Macaca mulatta: one gene and its partners. The protein of the gene in region 2 binds, or shares a complex with, the protein of the main gene of each other region. Links are inferred from orthologs where the notes say so. Each region holds a gene or a part of one and is shown on either strand. Other genes may lie near its edges.

Region 1 (3,500 bases), on a different chromosome or scaffold from region 2:
TTTTTGCTCCTTTGTTTTAATTACTTTTTAAATTGTGAAATTATTTTAAACTCACATAGAAGACACAGCAAGAGTACAGAGAGTTCCCATGTACCCTTCACCAGCTTCCCCAGTGATAACATCTTACATAGCCATAGTGCAATTACCAAAACCAGAAACCTGACATTGTAGAATACTAATTACTAAACTATAGATCTTATTCACATTTCACCCTGAACATCATCTTTTTTTTTTTTTTTTTTTTTTTTTTTTGAGACAGAGTTTCACTCTTGTTGCCCAGGCTGGAGTGCAATGGTGCAATCTCGGCTCACCACAACCTCCGCCTCCCGGGTTCAAGCAATTCTCCTGCCTCAGCCTCCTGAGTAGCTGGGATTGCAGGCATGCACCACCACGCCCTGCTAATTTTGTATTTTCAATAGAGACGGGGTTTCTCCATGTTGGTCAGACTGGTCTCGAACTCCCGACCTCAGGTGATCCGCCTGCCTCGGCCTCCCAAAGTGCTGGGATTACAGGCATAAGCCACCGCGCCTGGCTGAACATCATTTCTTAATTGTTCTGTTCTCAACTTGCCATATGGCATGCTTTTATCCCCTGTTGGTTACATAAAACCACAAGATTCTTCCAAGTATAAGTACTAAACAACACTATCATGTTTAAAAAATATATAAATTCATGCCCATTTTCAAATTCTTGACTAGGGGTTTACTCTATGTCCTATCACTAATTTTTTAATTTGGAAATTTTTTTAAAAGGTAGATGACTTCCCCTGCCTTTCTATTTTCTGCCAGCTCCTCCCACTTCCTCCCTTTATCCTCACCCTCAACCCTCAAGTTCTCCACCTCTTCCCAATGTAAACAAAGATCATATCATAGTCTAGATCACATAATAAAGAGAACAAAAATAAGTGGCCCCCAAATATTAACTTACCCATTGAGGAAAGGATCTGAGCTATTATTAGTGATGGATCTCATGTCTGGGGTCATCGTGGGTGGGTTGACAGCAGCCTGAACTGGAGCAAGAGTCTCAGCTTCCATGGGGAGCTGTCGACAGAGGGCAGCTTCCTACAGAAGTAACAACAGTCAGAGTGGGAAGCAAGAGTCATTCACTCATTGTCACAAGGCATGGAGCAGAGTGTATGTCACATCAAAACTTTTCACCAGGCCGGGCGCAGTGGCTCAAGCCTGTAATCCTAGCACTTTGGGAGGCCGAGACGGGCAGATCACGAGGTCAGGAGATCGAGACCATTCTGGCCAACACGGTGAAACCCCGTCTCTACTAAAAAAATACAAAAAACTAGCCAGGCGAGGTGGCGGGCGCCTGTAGTCCCAACTACTCGGGAGGCTGAGGCAGGAGAATGGCGTGAACCTGGGAGGCGGAACTTGCAATGAGCCGAGATCACACCACTGCGCTCCAGCCTGGGTGACAGAGCGAGATTCCGTCTCAAAAAAAACAAAAACTTTTCACCAAATACAAAGCACTGTGTATTTACTCCCAGCAAGTCAAAATCACCAGGTAACCACTGGTATTCTTTCTCTGAAGAAAGTCTTACAGACATAAGTCACTTCACATTCACAAAGTTAATGGGAAGCTCAGCTATTATTTGACCTAAGGGCACTTAACTGTTGCAATCATCCCACCCATGCAATTATTTAAACACCCAAATCATAGAAAGTCCTCTCAAAACACTTCTCAGAGACAAGGCTATTTCTATCTCAGGTTCTCAAACCAAATCTACATCAATCAAAGCAATCCGATTCCTCTGGACTATAAGGTACATTCTGGTCTTTGCCACTTACAGGCCAGTAAAACTGTGGAATTACAGAGTACAGGCTCTACATTAAATTGCATCTGGAAGTTTTATGTTTACAGACAGGAAAGCAAAACAATGAGTTGAAAGTTTACTTTGAAAAGCTAATCAGTGGCCAGGGGCGGTGGCTCACGTCCATAATCCCAGCACTTTGGGAGGTCGAGGTGGGCGGATCACTGGAGCCCACAAGTTCGAGACCAGCCTGGGCAACATGGTGAAACCTTGTCTCTACAAAAAACACAAAAATTAGCTGGGACTGGTGTTACTTGGGAGCCTGAGGTAGGAGGAGCCTCGTGCCTGGGAGGTTGAGACTAAAGTGAGCAGAGATCACGCCACTGCACTCTAGCCTGGATGACAGAGTGAGACGCTGTCTCAAAAAAAAGGAAAAAAAAAAAGTCAATCCATTTGACTACTTCGTTGACTAAAATGCTGAAGATTGGGGAAACATGTAGATCCAATCCAAATCCCACAGACAAGTAACTGTTTCACAGCATATGGATTTCATTAGCAAAAACAAATAATATAAACATTATTTTATAAAAGCTAGCATTACATTGCCAAGGAGAGTCCATCCAAAATGCTAGAAATCTACTGACTGCAATTACTTTCTCTAGGTATGATCTCCAGGAGTCTCTCCTTTTTGACAAACAACCAGACATCAAATTCCTTTCAAATTTGCTGCTGTTTCCAGAGAATACTTTTATATGTTTACATTTGCATCCCAAACTAAGGTTAGGCCTTTCCCCATATTTATGCCTATCAGTTTCCCACTTTCCATGCTGAAGTCATTGGTCTCACTGTCCCTCAAACCGTAAAACCATGGCTACAATGGCAAACAGAACATTTAGGACTTCTAAATTACAGTATCTTTGTTAGATCTCTTCCAGCCCTAACATGCTGTGACTTTAGAGGGTAACTGCTGTCTAGACAAGTCCTAGTGAAGTCATTGGCTATAAAAATTTTCAGTTACTAGAGTTCGTTGTGCTGTTACAAACCATGAGAGAACTGATTGATTAAAAAAAAAACAACTGTATTGTTAACTTATACTGAAATAAATTTTCTAGCTGGAAAGGGTCTCTGGCTCACTTCTGTTCATCTAAATTGCAAATAATCGAATACTTAACTAACAAATTTTATTCAGGAATCTATAAAAAGCAAACCAAAAAATGGAGATTTTTTTTGGTAAGAAGTTATTTTCATTCACCATCTAAATCTTGGAAGTGCCTTCTGAATAAACCTAGAAAAATCAAATGACTTTCTGATAGTTGTTTTTAACATGGCAGGCAGGGTGCATTAGAAACCTTATTATCCAACCAAAGTTTTCCTGAAAGCCTCAGAAGGAGCAACAAGGATTGAATCTGGCATAAAAAGCCTGGACCCCACCAGTCCCCATCCCTCAAGCACACTCACATACCCTGAGCCACAGTTTGAAAAAATGTACCTTGTCAATGGTAAATTTCTAGTACTTTATTAACCATAAATGCAAGAATCTTTTGACTCATAACCTCATTATCCAAAAACACGAACTTTACTAGAATATTCCATTTTTCAATCATTCTGAATAAATGTGGGAGTTTACCTCTAAACAAAGACACTTTTAATATAAAAGTTGATGAGATGGCTGCATTCCTTTCTATCTGACAAAACTTTATCAACATAAGTCCTAAGAATAAAAGTTGAGGCTGGGCAGTGG
Region 2 (2,542 bases):
CCACTCCCAACCCATCGCCAAGAACTGGAGAGAGACAGGAGGAGTGTCACAGGGGAACTTTATTGAGAGGAAACATGGTCACACCCAGCAGACATGCTTTCCTTCAATGTCGGTCTTGCACTGGCGCGCGCGCGCGCACACACACACACCCATCTCCAGCCCCTGCCACTGTCCAGTTCTCAGCCACAAGGCGGGACATTCCTCAATTCCTACGACCAGAGGCAGCAGGGGCAGGAGTGAGGCAAGAGGGAGGGGAGAAGTAGCCTGGTCCTGGGGTCGGGAGGAAGCGGTGCGGAGAGCAGTGCTGGGGTCATGACCAGTGGTTAGGTGCGCTCAACAGCTGCAAGAAGAGTGGGATCCCCAGCCCCAGGTGGCCTCAGCTCTGCCAGTCCCTCTCCACGGAGCCGTTTGGAGTAAGAACAGCGCCTGGGGGAGAAGGGTGGGGCCTCCCACCCCATATTAGTCCTCTCGGCAGGGTGGGGGACTGAAGGGGGCAGGGCAGGGTGGGGCGGTGGTGGGCAACACTCAGCTCTGGGGCTCCTGGGGAGCCTCGCCCCCCTCTTCCCCGGCGTTGTCGGCCGTCCACAGCGTCAGGTTGTCTCGCAGCAGCTGCATGATGAGGGTGCTGTCTTTGTAGGAGTCCTCGCTGAGGGTGTGCAGATCAGCCATGGCCTCATCGAAAGTGGTCTTGGCCAGCGAGATGGCCTCCTCGGGGCTGTTGGCGATCTCGTAGTGGAAGACGGAAAAGTTCAGGGCCAGGCCCAGGCGGATGGGATTGGTGGGCGGCATCTCCTTCTTGCTGATGTCCATGGCCTCCTGGTAGGCTGACCGGGCTGAGTCGATGATGCGCTTCTTGTCGTCACCAGTGGCCACCTCGGCCAAGTAGCGGTAGTAGTCGCCCTTCATCTTCAGGTAGAAGACCCTGCTCTCCGCGTCCCCAGCCTCCTTGATGAGATGGCTGTCCAGCAGGCCCAGCACGGTGTCGCACACGCCCCGGAGCTCAGTCTCCACCTTCTCCCGGTACTCACGCACCTCGGGGCCCTTCTCCTCCGAGCCCTCCTCGTTGCTTTTCTGCTCAATACTGGACAGGACCCTCCAGGCAGCCCTCTGGCCGCCCACCACATTCTTGTAGGCTACTGAGAGCAGGTTTCGCTCTTCGCAGGAGAGCTCCTCACCTTTCTCCACGGCGCCCTTCATGAAGGCTGCCATGTCCTCATAACGTTCGGCCTGCTCTGCCAGCTTGGCCTTCTGGATCAGACTGGCTCTCTCCATGGCTCTGGGGACACACAGGCGGGCGGCGGGCTAACTGCTGCCTGGGACCAATGCCGGACTCTGTGCCTCTCCTGCTCTTGGCCTGCCTTTTGGCTGGGTGGCCAGGCCCAGAGAAGGGTGGGGAGGAGCAGGGGGCGGGACCAGGGCCCAAGACCTGCCTCCGTCTCCTCTCCTCCCCACACCCTTTCCGGCTCTGCAGTAAAGGTAAAAAGGCTGGGATGTGGGGGTGAGTCATCAGAACAGTCAGCAGAAGAAATCTGGGCGTGGGCCCCACCTGCACAGGCACCTTTCCAGGCTCTAGGCTGCCCCCTCTTGTTCGGGGCTGGCATCATATGGCTGCTCACATCAGGAAACTGCCTGGCTTCTCAAATCAGATCCTCCTTCACAGCGCCCTTACAGAGGCTAAGGGCGGCTTTAGCCCCTGGCTGCTTCTGCCTCGACAGAGCCCATAAAGGTTCAGGAGGATGGGGTTCCCAATCCTGCCAGGTAACTTCTCCCCTTGATTCAGGTGAGGATAACTCATGTTTAGGTAGGGCCATAGAGTTTCCCAAGCACTTTCATATTCACCATCGAATTTAATCCCCACTGTGTCTCTGTGACACACACAGGACCACAGAGATGGGAACACTAAGTCTCAGAGAGGGGTGAGATTTGCTCAAAGTCACATAGCCACCACTTCCCTGAAACTCCTTTCTGCACCCTGCTTCCTTTAGCTTTTCTCCCGTTGAAGTCTCTGACCTATGAGCTCCAGGCTGTGTTTGGAAGTGAGATCCAGGCTCTTTCTCAATCTACCTGAAGATGGTTCCATCCCTCAGGCCTCACTCCCCCTCAGGGTCCCCTCTGAGCTCCCAGAATGCGCAGGTGGCAGCTTTCAGAGTGCCACTTAATGAAGTGTTTAACAAGCAGCCTCTGACGCTCCAGCCCAGCCTTTGTAATTAGTCACCCAGTAGGTTTGTTGTACACATTTCCCATCACTACACAATTTTCCCTTTCAAGTTGGTGGCCTGTTGCCACTTGTTTGAGGATTTACCCTCTGGCCCTCCACACCAGGTCACTTGCCCTCTCCAAGCCACATGCCATCAGGTACCAGTGGGGTTCACAGAGGGTGGGGTCCAGCTCCCCGGCTGTCCCACTTTCCTGCCTGACTCAGACTGCTCTCTGTCTGAGGCTGGGAAGCAGTCCAGTTTGATCCCCCAGGGGGGACGCTAGCAACCTGGGGAGAGAGAGGACTGAGAAAGGGAGGTGGCAGTGACACATACCATTCTGTTTT
Region 3 (3,500 bases), on a different chromosome or scaffold from region 2:
TCTGAGTCAGCTGAACCCCTAGGCAACGGGGAGCAGCACTTCAAAAACGGGGAGCTGACGTTGGAAGAGGCTTCCCGGCAGCCCTGTGGTCAGCAGCTGAGCGGAGGAGCCTCGGACAGCGGCCGTGGCCCCCAGAGGCCGGATGCTCGGCTCCTCCGCAGCCAGAGCACCTTCCAGCTCTCCAGCGAGCCAGAGAGGGAGCCCGAGTGGCGGGACAGGCCCGGATCGCCCGAGTCGCCCCTGCTGGATGCCCCCTTCAGTCGCGCCTACCGGAACAGCATCAAGGATGCTCAGTCTCGTGTCTTGGGGGCCACTTCCTTTCGACGCCGAGACCTGGAGCTGGGGGCGCCTGTGGCATCGAAGTCCTGGCGGCCGCGGCCTTCCTCGGCCCACGTGGGGCTGCGGAGCCCCGAGGCGCCGGCTTCCGCCTCCCCGCACACGCCCCGGGAGCGGCACAGTGTGACCCCTGCGGAGGGCGACCTGGCCAGGCCCATGCCCGCTGCCGCCCGGAGAGGGGCTCGCCGGCGCCTGACTCCCGAGCAGAAGAAGCGCTCCTACTCCGAGCCCGAGAAGATGAACGAGGTGGGGGTCGCGGAGGAGGCCGAACCAACACCCCTGGGCCCGCAGAGGAATGGGATGCGTTTCCCGGAGAGCAACGTGGCCGACCGGCGCCGCCTCTTCGAGCGCGATGGCAAGGCCTGCTCCACGCTCAGCCTGTCGGGGCCCGAGCTGAAGCAGTTCCAGCAGAGCGCCCTGGCCGACTACATCCAGCGCAAGACCGGCAAGAGGCCTACCTCCGCCGCCGGCTGCAGCCTCCAGGAGCCCGGGCCACTGCGCGAGCGCGCCCAGAGTGCCTACCTCCAGCCTGGCCCCGCGGCGCTGGAACCCTCCGGCCTCACCTCAGCCTCCAGCTTGAGCTCGCTGCGGGAGCCCAGCCTGCAGCCCCGCAGGGAGGCCACACTCCTGCCGGCCACAGTTGCAGAAACCCCGCAGGCTCCCCGAGATCGCAGCAGCTCCTTTGCCGGTGGCCGCCGCCTCTGGGAACGGCGACGCGGGGACCCACAGGTCCCAAGGGAGCTGCTCAGTGGAGCAAACGGTGGAACAAGGGGCACCCAGAGAGTGGATGAGACCCACAGGGAGCCATCCTCCTGGGGGGCCAGGGCTGGGAAGTCCATGTCAGCTGAGGACCTGCTGGAACGCTCAGACGTCCTCGCCGGCCCTGTCCACGTGAGGTCCAGGTCATCTCCCGCCACTGCGGACAAGCACCAGGTATGTGCAACCAGCAAGTCCTGGCCTCGGACTGTCCCTTCCTCCCTAGAAGCTTTAATGGGGCTCCCCAACCCCCCACACTCTCACTCCCTCTCCCAGTTCAGTTTTCCTTGTGAAAACAGAAAAGTAGCATTTGTTTTCATGAGTTGAGTTTCTCAAGTGTCCCTGCCTGGTTTCCTTATAAAGATATAGGTATCTAGATTACCTATATTGTTATACAGATTATCTATCTATCTCCTTTTTAGGAAGTCACCACCTCTCAATGCAAAAATGCAAGGTTAGGAAAAATTAGGGATTATCTTTTTTGTTTTTTGTTTTTTAATGGATTAGAGTGTGGATCTGAGTATTTAAAACGTTTTAGCTTTGCACCCTTTCTGTTTCTATTGGACTTTGCATCTACAAAATAGCTAGAGTGATTGACATTGATAGTCATTGGTTATTGAATTCCTGGCCCTCAGCTAAGTGTGTGGCAGGTCCTGAGCTAAGTGTAATCTACATTTATTACTTCATTTAACCCTCACGATAATCCTGTGCAGTAGAGTATATTATACATGTCAGACCCCTGTGTCTGAGACTCCCACCTGAGCTCTTTCTGTGCATTATCCTGGTGAGGAGAGAAAATAAAAACTCAAAATCACACATAAAAGGATTTTCTAATAAAGGCACCAAATGCTGCAAGGGTTATAAAGTACTTTCCCCTGAAAATTTTAAGCAATGCTAGGAATAGAAGCTGAGCATTCTGACTCCTAGGAGCCTATTAATTTCCCCAATTCTTAGCCTATCCTCAGGCTTCACTTCCACTGGAGATCAGTGGCCTGCCTCATGCTTCCCTTCCCACCAAAGAAAATAATAGGAATCACATACCTGTTAGCACAGGGAAGGAAGAACTCTGCTCCACTGCCTCCTCTCAGATTCTGCTGTTTTCCCTTTCAGAGAAGTCAGCCATTCAGCAAGCATCTGTAGAGCATGTGTTGTATGAAAAATGCTGTGTTACAGCATCAAAGGATACACAAAGGAAAAAAAAGGCTCATGCCTTTCTGGGGTTCACAATTAAGCAAAGAAGACGGCCTTATATATATAAATAATTCTAATATGACTAGTGAATGTTTTGGGAATGGTGATCAGTAATATGCTATGTTAAGGAAAGTGATTAATTCTGAGGTGATCTGAAAGTACTTCTCCTGAAGGTAAATGGGATTTGGGGCCAGGATGTAAAAGATGGGCATGATGACAAGAGATTAGGCGAGAGGGAATACATTGATCGGAAGAAACCAGTTGAGACAAAGAAAGATTCAGCAGTTACTGGCTGAGAAGTTTGCTGCACTCTAGCACACACATACAAACACCCTTCTGAGAGAAAATACTGTCCCTTCCCAGATGTTTTCTGTTTAGAATTGTACAGAAATATATTCTCCCAGTATAAACCCCCCACAAATGTAGAGGCAGCTTCCCATAAGCCTTCAGTAGCTTTTTCCTCCTTCAGAATGAACACAGCTAATTCTGACTCCCTATCCTACCAATAACACACATTTAAAATCCATATATGTAACACGCAATTTCATCTAGCTTGATAGATTTTAGCAACTTAACTGCATAGCAGTCTAAACACCCTCCTTTCTCTCCCCGTGTTTTAAAGAAAATAGAAATGCTTAGGTGAAAACCAAATCATTATTGTTTATTCCCCATTAGATATTGTTATTTTGTCTTAGAGGTTGGTTGGATGGCTATGAATGTTATTTTATCTTTTCCCCCAAATATTTCTTAAGCCTGGTTGATTAAGAAATAAAGCTAAAACATGGGTGTTAAGGGAAGTGAAGAGATTCCTCCAAATCCCAATTAAATACTTTGTATTATTTGGGAAACTTTTTAGAAAGACAAGTGAATACAGAATAGTACTTGGGTACCCTTTTCATAAAGGGAATGCCATATTTAGATGTTATTTAATTTGGGGAATATGCAGGCAGAGGGGGAAATATTTCCAAATGAAATACTTCTTTTGTACTGCTTTGCTCCAACAAATTCTGAAATTTCTGAACAATGCGTCGTCTCTTATATTGTCACTGTGCCAGGACTGCATTCTTGAACTTCCTCCTGGTCTCCTGCACAGCAGCCAGACCTACGCTGACTGGAGAAGCATCTCACGGCAAGGTGGTCTGCTCCTTGCATCCTCTTCGGCATCTGCCTTATTTGTAGTTATGATGAGTTAAAAATAAAACAAAGTTATTCTCACC
Region 4 (4,164 bases), on a different chromosome or scaffold from region 2:
TGAGAACTATTCGGGTATAATAAATTACTATAAAGTGATTAGCCACCTTTACAGCCACTCTCTTTTTTTTTTTTTTTTTTTTTTTGAGACGGAGTCTCACTCTGTCGCCCAGGCTGGAGTGCAGTGGCCGCATCTCAGCTCCGCCTCCCGGGTCTACGCCATTCTCCTGCCTCAGCCTCCCGAGTAGCTGGGACTACAGGCGCCTGCCACCTCACCCGGCTAGTTTTTTGTATTTTTTTTAGTAGAGACGGGGTTTCACCATGTTAGCCAGGCTGGTCTCGATCTCCTGACCTTGTGATCCGCCCGTCTCGGCCTCCCAAAGTGCTGGGATTACAGGCTTGAGCCACCGCGCCCGGCCTACAGCCACTCTCTAAAACATATGCCATCATAATTCTCCCGAGTCTCAGAGAGGTTAAGTTGCTTGCCCAAAGTCACACAGCAGGGAAGCAGAGCAAATGCCAAGGAACCATTTTTGTGACAGTTTAGCAGGTACCCGGCACTTTGCCAGGTGATTCCCATATGCATTCCTGCATTTAGCCCGTACAGAAACCCCACAAGCTGTTCTCATGCCCATCTGAAAGATAGAGAAAATGAGGCTCACAGAAGTGAAACATCAGCCTAAGCTTTGAGAAAGTTCTCAAAGGATTCAGAGCCAGGTGGGGGGTCTGACAACATCCTGTCTGGCTAGGGAGGGGGCGGACCGGGAGAGGGTGGGGCTGGGTGGGCCCCTTCACACCTGTGGCCCCCAGAGCAAGGTGTTGGTTGCACTTTTCCGATATCCAGCTCCAGCCCATTTGGCTGAGAAACAGGCTGCAGGGATTGGGAAGGTGTCTGCTTTGCTCATCTGCTTAGCTGATGAAGGAACGTTTCTGCCAAACATTTCCAGAGAGCAGGCCCCTGAACTTGAGCTGGAAGTTAGGAGACTCGGGGCCTCAGTGTCCACAACTTTGCGAATGAGAACAGCAAGTCCCAATTCACAAAGCTGCCACAGAAAGCAACGGTGGGGGCGCCTGGAGGGGCACTTACCAGTGTGGGTCCGGACATGGCCTTGTAGCAGCCAGGGCCTGGAGAAGGCCTTCCCGCAGGTTCCGCAGACGCAGGGCAGCGTGTGGCTTCGGATGTGCATCTTGAGGGCACCCAGGCTGAGGTATTCCTTGTTGCAGTATTTGCAGTTGAAGGCCTTTCGAGACTGGAGATCCTTGGCCTCAGAGAGCTGGGCCAGCTGCTTGGGCACTTGGCCCAAGCCTGGGAAGGCAGCATAGGCCTCAGCCTCCAAGGAAGAGGCTGAAGTAGAGGAGAAGGACGAAGTAGCCGGTGAGGGTGGGCTGGGAGGCTGGGAGCCTTTCCCACTGTCCTCGTCCGACAGGGAGGTCAGCTCTGCCGCCCTGGGACTCTCCTGGGGCCGAAGGGAGGCCCAGGCAATTGGCTGGGCTTGGGGCGCCAGGACAGAGTCCCAGATGAGCATTGGCAGCGAGGCGGTGGGATTGAGGATCTCTGGAGGTGGGATGGCTGCCAGCAGGTGGGCCTGGTCGTAGGGCTGCTGGAAGGTAAACTCTGAGAGAGAAAAAGCAGAGTCAGGCGTTAATTAAATCATTCACTCAATCAACAAACATGAACCCACCGCTGGCCAGGGGCTGGGTAGGGCTGATTCTCAACACATAATTAGATAAAAAAAATGATCCACAGGACAGACCAGGTTCCTGCCCTCCTGGCCCAGGTCACCCAATCTGAGTCTCTCACAGGTAGGACCCCCAGTTGAAGGGGGTCATTTCCAGATCTCCCTCTCCTAAGTCCCAAGTCCCCAGCCTGAGGCCAGAACCCCATCACCCCAGCCCTGGAGCCACCACCCTGCCCCAATCCCCCTCCTCACACACATCTCGTCTCCCCACCCCTCCCCTCAACCCTCTGGACTCCGGACTCTCCCCAGCAGCGTCCAGAGGGCCTTCCTGACACAGGCCTCCTCTCCCACTCTCGCGGAGCTCCTCCGCCTCTCGCCGGCTACACAGGCCACCCAAGCACAAAACCCCTGCTCTCTACACAGCACTCCCCCAACCACCCAGACCGATCCCCAGGACTGGGGACCCACCTGCCCGGTCTCCCGAGCCCGAGCCCGAGCCCGCAATGCTCCACAAAACACCCTGTGACTCGATCCTGGCTCAGACAGGCCGCCTCCCTCAGGTGGCCCCCACGCAGCCTTCGCCTGTCTCCCCCAAACCTCCTGGAGCCCACCACCCCTCCAACACACCTGGATTAGAGTCCTGCAGCTCGCTGTAGTTAGGCTTCCGATTGGGGTCGGAGGGCTTTCTGACGAGGAAAGAGCGCGGCATGGTGGCCGAGGCACTGGGGTCGCCGAGTCGCGCAGGAGCAGCGCAAACGTACCACTCACAAGGCCGGACCGCGGCGCAATGAGAGCAGCCGCGCCGCCAACTCCCTTAAATACTCCAAGGGGGTGGGAGGGGAGGGGCCTCATCTGCCACGCCCCTTTGTCACCTCCGCGCCAATCGGAGGCCCGTCTCCGCCGAAGGCCACTCCCCGAGCAGGTGCGCCGGGGGCTGGCCGGGCTCGCGCCGCGTGGCGCTGGGAGCCCGGGCGGGGGCTCCTCCGAGGCGGAGTTCGCAGGCGCAGCGCGGGTCGTCCGTGGTGCTCGGACTGTCCGGGGCGGGACGTCGAGCGAAGCGAGGCCCCTGCGAGGTGGGACCCCGCCAGAACGCCGCGCGCCCACCTGCTCAGCGCCCCGTGGTCGGAGCGCTTCTGACGCCCCCTGGCGCTGCGCGCGGGCCGGGACACCTGACCTTCCGACGCCCGCCCCCGCCTCGGGCTTAGGAGGGGGCGGAAATTTCCTCCGCCCGGCTGGCGCCTGGAGAGCGTGGCATTGACGAGGGAAATGCACATTGCTGGGGAGGAAGCGAGGAAACGGACACCGCACGTGGCTCCTGGCGGCGTGAAATGCTACGGCCGTTTTGCAAAGCAGCCTGGCCCAGCTAGCGAAGAGCGCCCGTTCCTTCCCTTAGCCAGTGTTTGCGGAGGGCCCAGCTGTACCTGGGGCAGGGCACAGCCCCGGACAGGACATTCAAGGCCTCTCCCGAAGGGTAGCTCCCGGTCCAGTGGGGGAGACAGACGAAGTAAACAGACAATTACAATGCAAAGGGAAGTGTGCTTTGGCGGGGGAGAGACGGGACGCAGCGACCGTTAAGAGGCGGGTCACCTGACAGGGGGTCGGGGTGACTTCCCAGAGGAAGTGAAGAATTATCAAGGGAAAAGGCCCGAGGGAAGAAGTGGCAACTGCTTCAGAGTAACTCCTAGAGAGCAGCTCTCAGGGATGGCGTGGGGTGGGCAGGCCCGGAAGGGTCAGATGTGCTGTGCCCCAGGGCCTCGTAGGAGGTTGGACTTTGCCTCAAAGGCACTGGGGAGCCACCGAAGGATTTTCAGCTGACGAGGGACCTGGTTAGAGTTTCGTAGAAAAAGATCCTTGTAGGCCGGCGGGAGAAAGAAGGGATGGGCCGGGCGTGTCTCCTCACCCCTGTGAAGATCCTCGATCCTGTGTCTAAAGGCTCTAACGTTGCTCTGTAGGGGCCCTGACTGAATGCATGTGGGGTGGGCCCAGGTGAGGGGCAGCTGCACCCCCACCCCAGCTTCCCTGGGAGGCATACCAGGCCCGGGAGTAGCGCTGAAATAAACCTCACAGGTCTCACCGTTCTTGTTTCCACCTGTGAAGGAAGACTAGAAAAACCTATAAGCACCCCACACCACCACCAGCAACATGAAGGGCAGAACTACTGTCTGTTTTGGTCACTTGGTGCCGGATGTAACAGCCGTGAACAAAATCGTCTTCCCCTGTTTCTAGCTGGAGAGTGGGGAGTAGGGTGGAGGACATAGGCAGGAAGCAGTTATTAGGCGGAATACTCTCCCTCCCGTGTCAATTTAGCTCCAATCAGGATCCTCTGCTGGAAGCCAGAGTGAGGCCAGAGCACCCCCTCCTCTGCTCAAACCCTCCCATGCGCCTGTCTCAGAGTAAAAGCCAAAGTCCTTTCCTCGGCCAACTCGGCCCCGCTGCTCTGACCCCGGCTGACCTTGGCTTGAGCCTCTCTCCCTCCCCCATGAACAAGGATCCCTCCCCCACCCTTCCTTCTGTTCCTCCAACATCCCAGACCTTTCCCACCGTGG
Region 5 (3,500 bases), on a different chromosome or scaffold from region 2:
ACCTTGCAGAATGTGATTAAAATCATGGTTCCCAGAGCCAGCAAAAAGTCTGCCAATGTGTTATAACCATGAAAGGAGTAGGTGAAAAGTGTTTTTAAATTATTTATTTGGATAGAAAGTAGCTCTCCTGAAGTTTGCTACTTGCTGCTTCTACTATTTGAGGTTATTTTTCTCCTTACGACTAAAGGGTAGTATGAAAGAGTCTTAACACAACTGCATTTTTAATTTCTATCTGAGATTCACTTTATAACTGAGGACTAATGTGTATGTAACATGATTACCTCATTATTGAAAATGTGAAAGGACTAGCTGAAAATCACATCACCCTTCCTTTATGTCTCTCTCTTTCTCTACACACACACACACACACACACACACACACACACACACACACACACAGAATAATTCCTTTGGAAGGTAATTAGGAAAGATATCATTCCTATACTCACAGAGGAACCCCAAAAGATTATCTAAGATACCCAATCTCCTAGTAAGAAGTGGGATTGGTTTCTTAGGGGGGACATTTATGTGACTCGATGTTGTAATGCAGATCAGAAAAGGGAAAACCTTTTAAAAGGCACTGAAGGAGAGGCAAGACAGAAATTCAGTAGTTTGTCAAGACTGGACAAGCTACTCCAGCCAGGGACATTTTACAAGATACATATTCCCTGGACCATGAAGATGTCTTTTCGTAAAATGGAATTAAAAAAAGATAAGAGCTTCCCAAAATAAGCATGGTGATTGGCATAATGGTTAGCTGTGTTGTGTGACTTTTAAAAAGTCACTGAACCTCTCCAGTTCTCAGATTCCTCATCACTAAAATGAGGGGGTAGGGCTCTATTGCTAAAGTTCTCTCCCACCGCTATGGCTCATGATGTAATATAACAGGCCTACTCTTCTATTAATCTGGTTTCTAACTAAGACATCCCAAAACCTCTACCCCCCCTACCCTTACCTAACACCCCCCCACCTTCCCTCACCCTCCCTATACCCCTTAAAACTGATCTTAATGATGCTATCTGCAGATTTGTCACCTTAATGAAGGGCAGACAGGTGACACAGGGCAGGGTCCTGTGGCAACTGGCATCCTTCTGTGTTCTTGGAGGCAGCCCTATGGCAAGGCTTGGAACCATTGCCTCCTTTGATCTCTACCCACATGCACATTTCCCGCTGCTTCCCAAAGGTATTCCAAGATGGAGTCACTGACAGTGAGAAGAGGTAGTTGAGGATACTGCTGCAATCCACCTCTCCCCCGACTGCAGCATAGTACTTTGGGTTTCTCATGTTATTCCCTTGGAGATGATAGTCAAAAATGCCTTTTAAGACATATGCTTAGAATTTGACACACAAAACAAGTTATTTCAAAGTAGTCACCAGAAATTCAAAGCATTCAACCTGTCAACAAAGATCCTTCCTCACTTTGCAAATGATTGGCAATTTGAGACTGGAGCCCCAGCCAGTGAATCTGTGCTGTAGAAGAAATAAACACTAAGCTGATTGGTCTTAATAAATGCAAGCAAGCTATGTTCATGGCTACACACAGACCATGAAAGTCTGCATATAGCACCTCACGCAAGTCTCCATCAAGGCCTCTGATGGTCTAACTCCCTAAGAGAGAGGAAGTTGTGCATCACTCAGTTAATGTACTCTCCCAGCATCTGAAAGCAATATATTAATTATCCAAATGCATAAATTATTCCACAGCATATATATGAATGTATGAACCTCCAGGAGGGAACCAAAAGAATCCGTTTCCAAAGCACCACTGAAATGAAGACAAACACAATTCCCTGGGGCAGGGTAGCTGGGAAATTGGAAGAAAAAATTAGCTCCAGCACCCTTCTGCATCCCAAAACTCCCTACCTTTTTTCCAGCTTACATAGCTCCTGAAACTATTCCCTTTTATAAGCCTGAGGTGAGAGCTTTCTCCGGCTGCTGCACAGGATAGTAACTATACAAGACAGCACACACTCAATTCTCTCCAGCTTCCCACTTCCAAACTACGTGTTACACACTGTCTTCCACACATACTGTGCTCTTCAATTAAAAATGATCTAGAATATGGAAATTTTAAACAAATTTAAGCACATTGAAAACACTGATGTATGCCCACCCGTTAACAGTCCCAGTATTTGTATAAATTCAAACAATAAGCTTTAGAGCACATTCGGATTAATCTGTCTTTAGAGGTACTCCCTAAGCATACCAGAATAGACTGGTGGTTCACATGGTATTACTCAAGTAGTACATTGTTCCAACAAAAAGTCCTGTTAAAAAACATCCCCTCCCCCCAACCCTTGTCCTCACCCCCAAAACAAGAACCAATAAAAGGGGGAAATGATTAAAAGCATTTTTGCTGAGAATCTGCAGCTCTTGATTTGGCCGTTTAGATGAGATATTCCACCATCTCTGCATCAGGCTCTTGTCCCAGGATCTGAATGGGAGTTTTTCTTTCCAGAGTATTGGAGTGGAACACAGGCCCATCTAAATGGAAATAAGGGTTAGAAAACACTTAGGGATGAAGAAAAAACCTGTATTTCTAGAACTAGACACCATCAGAGCCCTCATGAAGCCAATGGCAAAGTGAGACTTGTCACCTCCCTCATTTACTTCTGCTAAGATAATGGCCTCCACTCATGCCTGTTCCCATCTTGGTGGATGAGAAGTCATTTACAGACTCTCTTCTCTCTCCCTTAGAACATGAAAAATTCAGTCCAAAGGATAACTCTGCCCAGACATCAGGCAACAAGAAATAAATCTGTATTTGAGAGCAGAACTAAACCAAAAGTTACCTGCTAAAGGGAATAATTACCTGCTTTGTCTGGATTGCAGGTCAAACTTGGTATAGACAAACGATGTGGTCCAGGACCGGTAGCTGGACTTGCAGGAACCTCAGCCTGAGCCACAGCTGGAGTTGGAGTTGGAGCTGGAGTTGGAGCTGCAGCCGTAGCTGAAGTTGGTGCCTGAGTCTGAGCAGGAGCAGAAGCCTGAGCCGCTGCTGAAGCCGGAACTGGAACCAGAGCCGGAGCTGGAACCGGAGCCGGAGCAGCTGGAGCAACCTGAACAGCAGCAGCAGCAGCAGCAGCAGCAGCAGCAGCAGCAGCAGCAGCAGGAGGAGGAGGAGGAGGAGGAGGAGGAGGAGCAACGGCAGCAGCTGAGGCAACAGAGGCAGCAGCTGGAATCTGACCAGCAGCAGCTGGAGAAACAGCAGCAGCAATAGCAGCAGCGGTGGCTGGAGACGGGGCAGCAGCAACAGCAGCAGCAGCAGCTGGAGCAGCAGCAACAGCAACTGGAGTAGCAGCTACCATGGTGGTGGTGATAGTGGCAGCAGTGGCGGTGATGGCGGCAGCAGTGGCGGCGGCAGCAACTGGAGCAGCAACAGAGATGGGAGCAACAGTTGCAGTTTTGTTCGATTCCGTCCCACGTTCAGTTTGGGTACTGCAGTCTCGGCTGCCTGTCTTGGAGTGAGCCGAGGGCAGGGGAGTCGAGGGGGGCACAGG
Region 6 (2,699 bases), on a different chromosome or scaffold from region 2:
TTAAGTTATCCTAAATATGAAACGCAAAGTGTCCATAACTATACATCACTTTCCTGCCCAAATAGGGCCTGAAACGTTGAGTATGCAAGTACTAATTACAATGATTTAAGATTAGTCAGAAACATCACTAAGTAGCATCCCAAAGTGTACAAACCAGTTAAGCACGTATAAAATTAGTACTAATCCAGTTAGAATACAAAATGAAAATTATGAATGCTGCCCCAAATACCTGTGGTTCCACAAAATTTACAAGCCGACTATGTAACAAAGTAGACTCTAGTTTTAAGAAAACATTATTACAGTTCAATATCTATTCCAAAAATGTTCTTAAGTCCCACCAATAACGTCAAAAATCATTTATCTGGAAATTAGAACCATTTGAATGTTTGTACAAATTTGCAAATAACAAAATAAACAAAAAAAAAAAAAAATAGAAAAGACCTGTACAAAGCTGGCATTTAACCTTTTTTTCCAAAAGTTTAACAAGTCCATTAATTTAGCAGATTGATAACAGGCTACTTGGTTCTCATGTGAATTCTGTGGCAACATGAACAGGTCCAAAGCTGTTCAATGGAGGTGCAGAATGGAGATTCAGTTCTTTGTGATCCGTCAGTTCCGCAGAAAACAGGTAGTACAAACCAAAGTTTAACTTATCAAGACATGAGACCCATCACAGTATTACAAAAAGAGTATAAACTTTCCTTGGACCAAATGGATATTTAAAAAAAAAAAAACAAAAACAAAAACACACACAAATACAATCTGTATCTACTGCTTATATACAAAACGTGAAAGCACACCAGGATCTGAAAATCTTTTCTGCAATTATATGGTGTAGTGAGTTTGGCACTTCATTGTAATGAAATTTCCAATGGCACGGTCCTTATCTACAGCAGCACATAACCTGCACACATTGGGCAAACATCCTGTACAGGAAAAATGTCTTTGCTGCCAAGTCTGACGAAAGGAAAAAAGGAAGGTTTTTTTCGGGGTTTTTTTTTTTTCCGTTTTTTTTGTTTTGTTTTGTTTTGTTTTTTAAACCAAGAAAACTAAAAGGGAGTTGGTGAAGGACATCTTTGGACTGCTTCTCTCAGTTCCTGCTGTCAGACAATCTGAAGTACTTTTAAGTGTAACCTAGGAAAAAACACATACACACACACACACATACACACAAAATGAAAATATAGCCAAATTAAAATCAATTCAACTTAACATGTTCAGAGTGGCAGACATACTTAGGGGCAAAAAGCTAGAGCTTTCTCAAACAGCTCTAAAATCATTCAATGGGGAAAATTCTACTTTACAAAAAACCCTTCAGCATTTGATTTATATCAAATGTATTCATTTATTGAAGAGCTACTAAAAAGATGCAGCCATCAAACTGTCAAAAAGAAATCTTTAAAGCAGTTAAAGGAAGCTTCCTTCTGTTGAAGCTAGGAAGGAAAATTGATAAGCTGCAAAAAGGACAGAGAATGAATGATAAAAGATCCCTCTCTGCAAGGGGCAGTCAGTTGACATCAAAGATGTGCTAACCATGGCAAGTTACTGTGTTCCTCCCTTTTAAGTTCTATTTTTCAAAAGGTCTTTTGATATTGGGGTGAACTTACCTGCTCACTAATCCTCAGCCTGACACCCAGCTATGTGTCGTCGTCTTGACACTGTGCGGGAAGCTTTGGTTGGGCAACACATTGTCAAAGTTAAAATCCAATGTATCTCCATCCATGAGGTCATTCCGAATGATGGATTCCATGTCACAGTCTAAGCGCTCAATGAACATGCCATCCAAGTCACTTGGGAGCTTCTCCTGGTGGAGAAGGCCCATTCTGCCATAGCCATTGCAGCTGCTCACGGAGGAGTAGCCCGCCAGGGCACTCATCTGCATGGGGTGGGGCAGAGGCACTTGCACAGGTGTCTTCACTTGGGTCAGGCGGTTCATTCCCGAGGTGTGGGGCATGGTGCTTACCGTGTGGGACAGGGCACGCCCGTTAACTGCAGATGTCTGCTGAGCGTGTCCAGGGTGGGTATGGGAGCTGGGATTCATCATTTTGTTATGAGATGCCTGGCTGCCATAGGTTGACATGACCGAATTAGGGCCCATCATGACGTTCTGGCCCAGAACCCGGCTGTTGGGTTGAGCTACCCCAGGATCAACTGGTGTCATAATGTCATTGTGGGGAGGAGAGTCAGAAGTCAGCAACTCCTTCAAGAGTCCAGGTGCACAGTTATACTGACTCATCCCTCCGTAACTTGACTTATTGTCCTGAAGTGTTTGCATAGGCATCTGGGGTAAAGGGTTCATGCTGGATTGGCCATATGTATATTTTTGGTAGTTTGGGCTGGGTGAATTCAAACTGGTGTTTGGTGGCGCAAACGAGTAGCATGGTGTCTGCTGCATCATGGTGCCAGGTGAGGACTGGGTCGAAACAGTTAATGATGTTGGTGATGAGAGAAGGTTGAGATTATCCAAAAGATTTTCCATGTTTTCGGGATTGCTTATCTCAGACAGACTGGGTAAAGTAGAGGCCATCTTTGCGGCAGATGGCGGGTACACCATAGAATGCACATCCCCTTCTCCAAGATCATCCTGTTCGGTCATAATGGGTGAGAGTCTCCCACTAATAGTACTAGCATTTGAGCTAGTTCGAGGGCGAAATGTACTCCAGTTATCAAAGTCGTCGTTGCTATGAGAGCCAGGGCTT
Region 7 (2,592 bases), on a different chromosome or scaffold from region 2:
CTGCTTAGGGCCCTGCATGCTATGTTGGGTATAATCCCGTTCCTCCCAGGAACCCAGGTCATGTTGGGAACTGTGGTCTAATGAGTCAGCTCAGCCAGTGAGTCATGCAGTCATGCACAGAGCCTGGGGGGCCTGCCATGACCTTTCTCCTGCCTTTGCTCCAGGTGTTTTTGGGTTTTTTTGTCTTCTAAATAGGGCCCCTCAAGTCAACAGCACAAGGAAACACTGCAACAATCCCAGGCCAGCACACACTATTACCGCTGGACTCACCATTGAACATTTCCATTTCTGAACGCAGGGTTTCTAAAATGTGGGAAAGGGAACAGAGAGAAGCTGGAGTTAGGTCCCTCAGCTAGGGACAGATGGAAGAGAGGTCGAAGGCAGGTCAGCAAGACCAGGGGTGGAGGAGGAGGGAAGTGAGGGGCTCTGGGCTATGTGAATCTTAGGGCGGAAGCAAGCATGCACCTCCAATCCTCTCCCAAGCCCATCTACCTAAGAAGTACTTTGCGTTCTTCTCCACAAACTCTAACTTCTGGTGGAGCAGTTGGATCTTCTGTTTCATCTCTTGAGGAGGAGTCCACCGTTCAGGGAGAGGCACTGTCTTAGCCCTAGAGACAAAAGACTGTTGGCCAGAGAGGGCTGGAACGAGGGGATGGCCCAAGTACCCGTGAGCTGGAAATGATCTACATTCTCCACAGGGCACACCTAGCCCAGCCTGAGCTACACAAAGAAAAGTCTTCTCTGGATTCAGAGGTCTAAATGCTGGTCCTCAACTTTGGCCACAGATTGTCATGTACTGGGGCGCTTTAAAGACATGGATATCAAAACCACAAGGAGTTTTCAGAATGGACTTAAAATGACATTGATATTATCTACCAGAATTATCTATGTCAAATTGATTATACATCCCTTTATTTCTTTCTATTGAAATAAAAATGGTAGTTAATGAAAAAAAAAAACAATAAAATACCCCTTCACATTCATTAGGATGGCTATTATAAAAACAGCAACAACAGGAGAAAATAGGCCAGGTATGGTGGCTCATGCCTGTAATCCTAGCACTTCAGGAGGCCAAGGCAGCTGGATTGCTTGAGCCCAGGAGTTCAAGTCCAGCCTGGGCAACATGGCAAAACCCTGTCTCTATTAAAAATACAAAAAAGTAGCTGGAAATGGTAGCACATGCCTGTAGTCCCAGCTACTCAGGAGGCTGAGGTAGGAGAATCACCTGAGCCCAGGAGTTGAGCCTGCAGTGAGCCGTGACTGTGCCACTGCTCTCCAGCTTGAGTGATGGGAATGAGACCTTGTCTCAGGAAGAAAAGAGAGAGAGAGAGAGAAATGGCTGGGCGCAGTGGCTCACATCTGTAATCCCAGCGCTTTGGGAGGCCAAGGTGGGTGGATCACTTGAGGTCAGGAGTTTGAGAACAGCCTGGCTGACATGGTGAAACCCTGTCTCTACCAAAAAAATTAGCTGGGCATGGTGGCACGCTCCTGTAGTCCCAGCTACTAGGGAGGCTGAGGTGGATGAACCCCTTGAACCTGGGAGGCAGAGGTTGTAGTGAGCCAAAGATGACGCCACTGCACTCCAACCTGGATGACGGAGCAAGACTCTGTCTCCAAAAAAAAGAAAAAGAGAGAAAGAGAGAGAAACAAGAAAATAAGTGATGGCAAAGATGTGGAGAAACTGGAGCCCTTGTGAACTGCTGGTGGGAATGGGAAGCAGTGCAGCCCCTGTGGGAATCAGGATGGTGGTTCCTCAAAAAAAATTAAACACAGAATGACCACATGGTCCCGCCGTTCCACTTCTGGGTATGTACCCAAAATAACTGAAAGCAGGGTCTCAAATAGATATTTGTATGCCCATGTTCATAGCAACATTATTCACAAACCAAAAGTTAGAAAAAATCCCAATGTCCATGAATGGATAAACGAAATGTAGTATGAACACACAATTGACTACTATTCAGCCATAAAAAGAAAATAAATTCTGATACACGTTACAACATGGATGAAGCCTGAAGACATTATGCTAAGTGAAGAAGCCAGACACAAAAGGACACTGGGATTTTGTAAAGCTCCCAGGTGATTTTAAGGCTTAGCCTCTTCCTGTCCCTTCCCTCCCCTTCCTGCTGGGCTCAACCCAGCTTCACTCCAAACAAGCTTCCCAAGGCCACCAGTAGGCCTGAAGGGGCAGTTTTCATAAGGTGAATTGCACGGGACACAATGCACTCAGCAAGTTTCTTAGGGAGCCTCCATCTTAGGATGGGCTGAATTCACCCTTCCCAGTCTGCAGCTCCACACCTGGTCAGCCTCCCTGCCGGCCAGATCCCCTTCTCCCTAAGCAAATCCAGAGGCTTTGCCTCCCTGCCGGCCAGATCCCCTTCTCCCTAAGCAAATCCGGAGGCTTTGGCTCCCTGCCGGCCAGATCCCCTTCTCCCTAAGCAAATCCGGAGGCTTTGGCTCCCTGCCGGCCAGATCCCCTTCTCCCTAAGCAAATCCGGAGGCTTTGGCTCCCTGCCGGCCAGATCCCCTTCTCCCTAAGCAAATCCAGAGGCTTTGCCTCCCTGCCGGCCAGATCCCCTTCTCCCTAAGCAA

What was found.
Region 1: the proteins of SFN (region 2) and WWTR1 are in contact, whole or in part, in a crystal structure (PDB 8R0Z), measured with the Homo sapiens proteins. The link is inferred for Macaca mulatta from reciprocal best matches to the Homo sapiens genes SFN and WWTR1. Residues at the interface, in NP_006133.1 of Homo sapiens: Cys38, Asn42, Ser45, Val46, Lys49, Arg56, Arg60, Phe119, Lys122, Arg129, Tyr130, Pro167, Ile168, Gly171, Leu174, Asn175, Val178, Tyr181, Glu182, Asp215, Leu218, Ile219, Leu222, Asp225, Asn226, Leu229, Trp230; in NP_001161750.1 of Homo sapiens: Arg86, Ser87, His88, Ser89, Ser90, Pro91, Ala92, Ser93, Leu94, Gln95.
Region 3: the proteins of SFN (region 2) and SHROOM3 are in contact, whole or in part, in a crystal structure (PDB 6FCP), measured with the Homo sapiens proteins. The link is inferred for Macaca mulatta from reciprocal best matches to the Homo sapiens genes SFN and SHROOM3. Residues at the interface, in NP_006133.1 of Homo sapiens: Ser45, Val46, Lys49, Asn50, Arg56, Lys122, Arg129, Tyr130, Gly171, Leu174, Asn175, Val178, Tyr181, Glu182, Leu222, Asp225, Asn226, Leu229, Trp230; in NP_065910.3 of Homo sapiens: Arg1239, Ser1240, Arg1241, Ser1242, Ser1243, Ala1245, Thr1246.
Region 4: the proteins of SFN (region 2) and SNAI1 are in contact, whole or in part, in a crystal structure (PDB 4QLI), measured with the Homo sapiens proteins. The link is inferred for Macaca mulatta from reciprocal best matches to the Homo sapiens genes SFN and SNAI1. Residues at the interface, in NP_006133.1 of Homo sapiens: Ser45, Lys49, Asn50, Arg56, Lys122, Asp126, Arg129, Tyr130, Leu174, Val178, Glu182, Ile219, Leu222, Asp225, Asn226, Leu229, Trp230; in NP_005976.2 of Homo sapiens: Ser175, His176, Thr177, Leu178, Pro179, Cys180.
Region 5: the proteins of SFN (region 2) and AMOT are in contact, whole or in part, in a crystal structure (PDB 7NPB), measured with the Homo sapiens proteins. The link is inferred for Macaca mulatta from reciprocal best matches to the Homo sapiens genes SFN and AMOT. Residues at the interface, in NP_006133.1 of Homo sapiens: Val46, Lys49, Asn50, Arg56, Arg60, Lys122, Arg129, Tyr130, Gly171, Leu174, Asn175, Val178, Tyr181, Glu182, Asp215, Leu222, Asp225, Asn226, Leu229, Trp230; in NP_001106962.1 of Homo sapiens: Val171, Arg172, Ser173, Leu174, Ser175, Glu176, Arg177, Leu178, Met179.
Region 6: the proteins of SFN (region 2) and FOXO1 are in contact, whole or in part, in a crystal structure (PDB 8A62), measured with the Homo sapiens proteins. The link is inferred for Macaca mulatta from reciprocal best matches to the Homo sapiens genes SFN and FOXO1. Residues at the interface, in NP_006133.1 of Homo sapiens: Tyr19, Ser45, Lys49, Asn50, Arg56, Arg60, Lys122, Asp126, Arg129, Tyr130, Glu133, Gly171, Leu174, Asn175, Val178, Tyr181, Glu182, Leu218, Ile219, Leu222, Asp225, Asn226, Leu229, Trp230; in NP_002006.2 of Homo sapiens: Pro20, Arg21, Ser22, Cys23, Thr24, Trp25, Pro26, Leu27, Pro28, Arg29.
Region 7: the proteins of SFN (region 2) and MEFV are in contact, whole or in part, in a crystal structure (PDB 8C28), measured with the Homo sapiens proteins. The link is inferred for Macaca mulatta from reciprocal best matches to the Homo sapiens genes SFN and MEFV. Residues at the interface, in NP_006133.1 of Homo sapiens: Glu14, Cys38, Asn42, Leu43, Ser45, Val46, Lys49, Arg56, Arg60, Glu115, Phe119, Lys122, Arg129, Tyr130, Pro167, Ile168, Gly171, Leu174, Asn175, Val178, Tyr181, Glu182, Asp215, Ile219, Leu222, Asn226, Leu229, Trp230; in NP_000234.1 of Homo sapiens: Arg205, Asn206, Ala207, Ser208, Ser209, Ala210, Gly211, Arg212, Leu213, Gln214, Gly215.

What each region holds. Positions count from the first base shown.
Region 1 is NC_133407.1:52,529,438-52,532,937, forward strand, and holds part of WWTR1 (WW domain-containing transcription regulator protein 1), read right to left. Parts: intron 1,062-3,500; coding exon 928-1,061; intron 1-927. UniProt on the Homo sapiens protein: Transcriptional coactivator which acts as a downstream regulatory target in the Hippo signaling pathway that plays a pivotal role in organ size control and tumor suppression by restricting proliferation and promoting apoptosis.
Region 2 is NC_133406.1:214,122,291-214,124,832, forward strand, and holds SFN (14-3-3 protein sigma), read right to left. Parts: upstream 1,338-2,542; 5' UTR 1,273-1,337; coding exon 526-1,272; 3' UTR 501-525; downstream 1-500. UniProt on the Homo sapiens protein: Adapter protein implicated in the regulation of a large spectrum of both general and specialized signaling pathways. Binds to a large number of partners, usually by recognition of a phosphoserine or phosphothreonine motif.
Region 3 is NC_133410.1:57,067,237-57,070,736, reverse strand, and holds part of SHROOM3 (protein Shroom3), read left to right. Parts: coding exon 1-1,269; intron 1,270-3,500. UniProt on the Homo sapiens protein: Controls cell shape changes in the neuroepithelium during neural tube closure. Induces apical constriction in epithelial cells by promoting the apical accumulation of F-actin and myosin II, and probably by bundling stress fibers.
Region 4 is NC_133415.1:102,822,937-102,827,100, reverse strand, and holds the start of SNAI1 (zinc finger protein SNAI1), read right to left. Parts: upstream 2,801-4,164; 5' UTR 2,328-2,800; coding exon 2,246-2,327; intron 1,555-2,245; coding exon 1,027-1,554; intron 1-1,026. UniProt on the Homo sapiens protein: Involved in induction of the epithelial to mesenchymal transition (EMT), formation and maintenance of embryonic mesoderm, growth arrest, survival and cell migration.
Region 5 is NC_133426.1:119,487,164-119,490,663, forward strand, and holds part of AMOT (angiomotin), read right to left. Parts: coding exon 2,813-3,500; intron 2,485-2,812; coding exon 2,387-2,484; 3' UTR 1-2,386.
Region 6 is NC_133422.1:20,018,911-20,021,609, forward strand, and holds part of FOXO1 (forkhead box protein O1), read right to left. Parts: coding exon 1,622-2,699; 3' UTR 1,608-1,621; intron 1,135-1,607; 3' UTR 1-1,134. UniProt on the Homo sapiens protein: Transcription factor that is the main target of insulin signaling and regulates metabolic homeostasis in response to oxidative stress.
Region 7 is NC_133425.1:4,480,246-4,482,837, forward strand, and holds part of MEFV (pyrin), read right to left. Parts: intron 984-2,592; exon of another isoform or gene 609-983; coding exon 493-608; exon of another isoform or gene 304-492; coding exon 271-303; coding exon of another isoform or gene 259-270; exon of another isoform or gene 196-258; intron 1-195. UniProt on the Homo sapiens protein: Involved in the regulation of innate immunity and the inflammatory response in response to IFNG/IFN-gamma.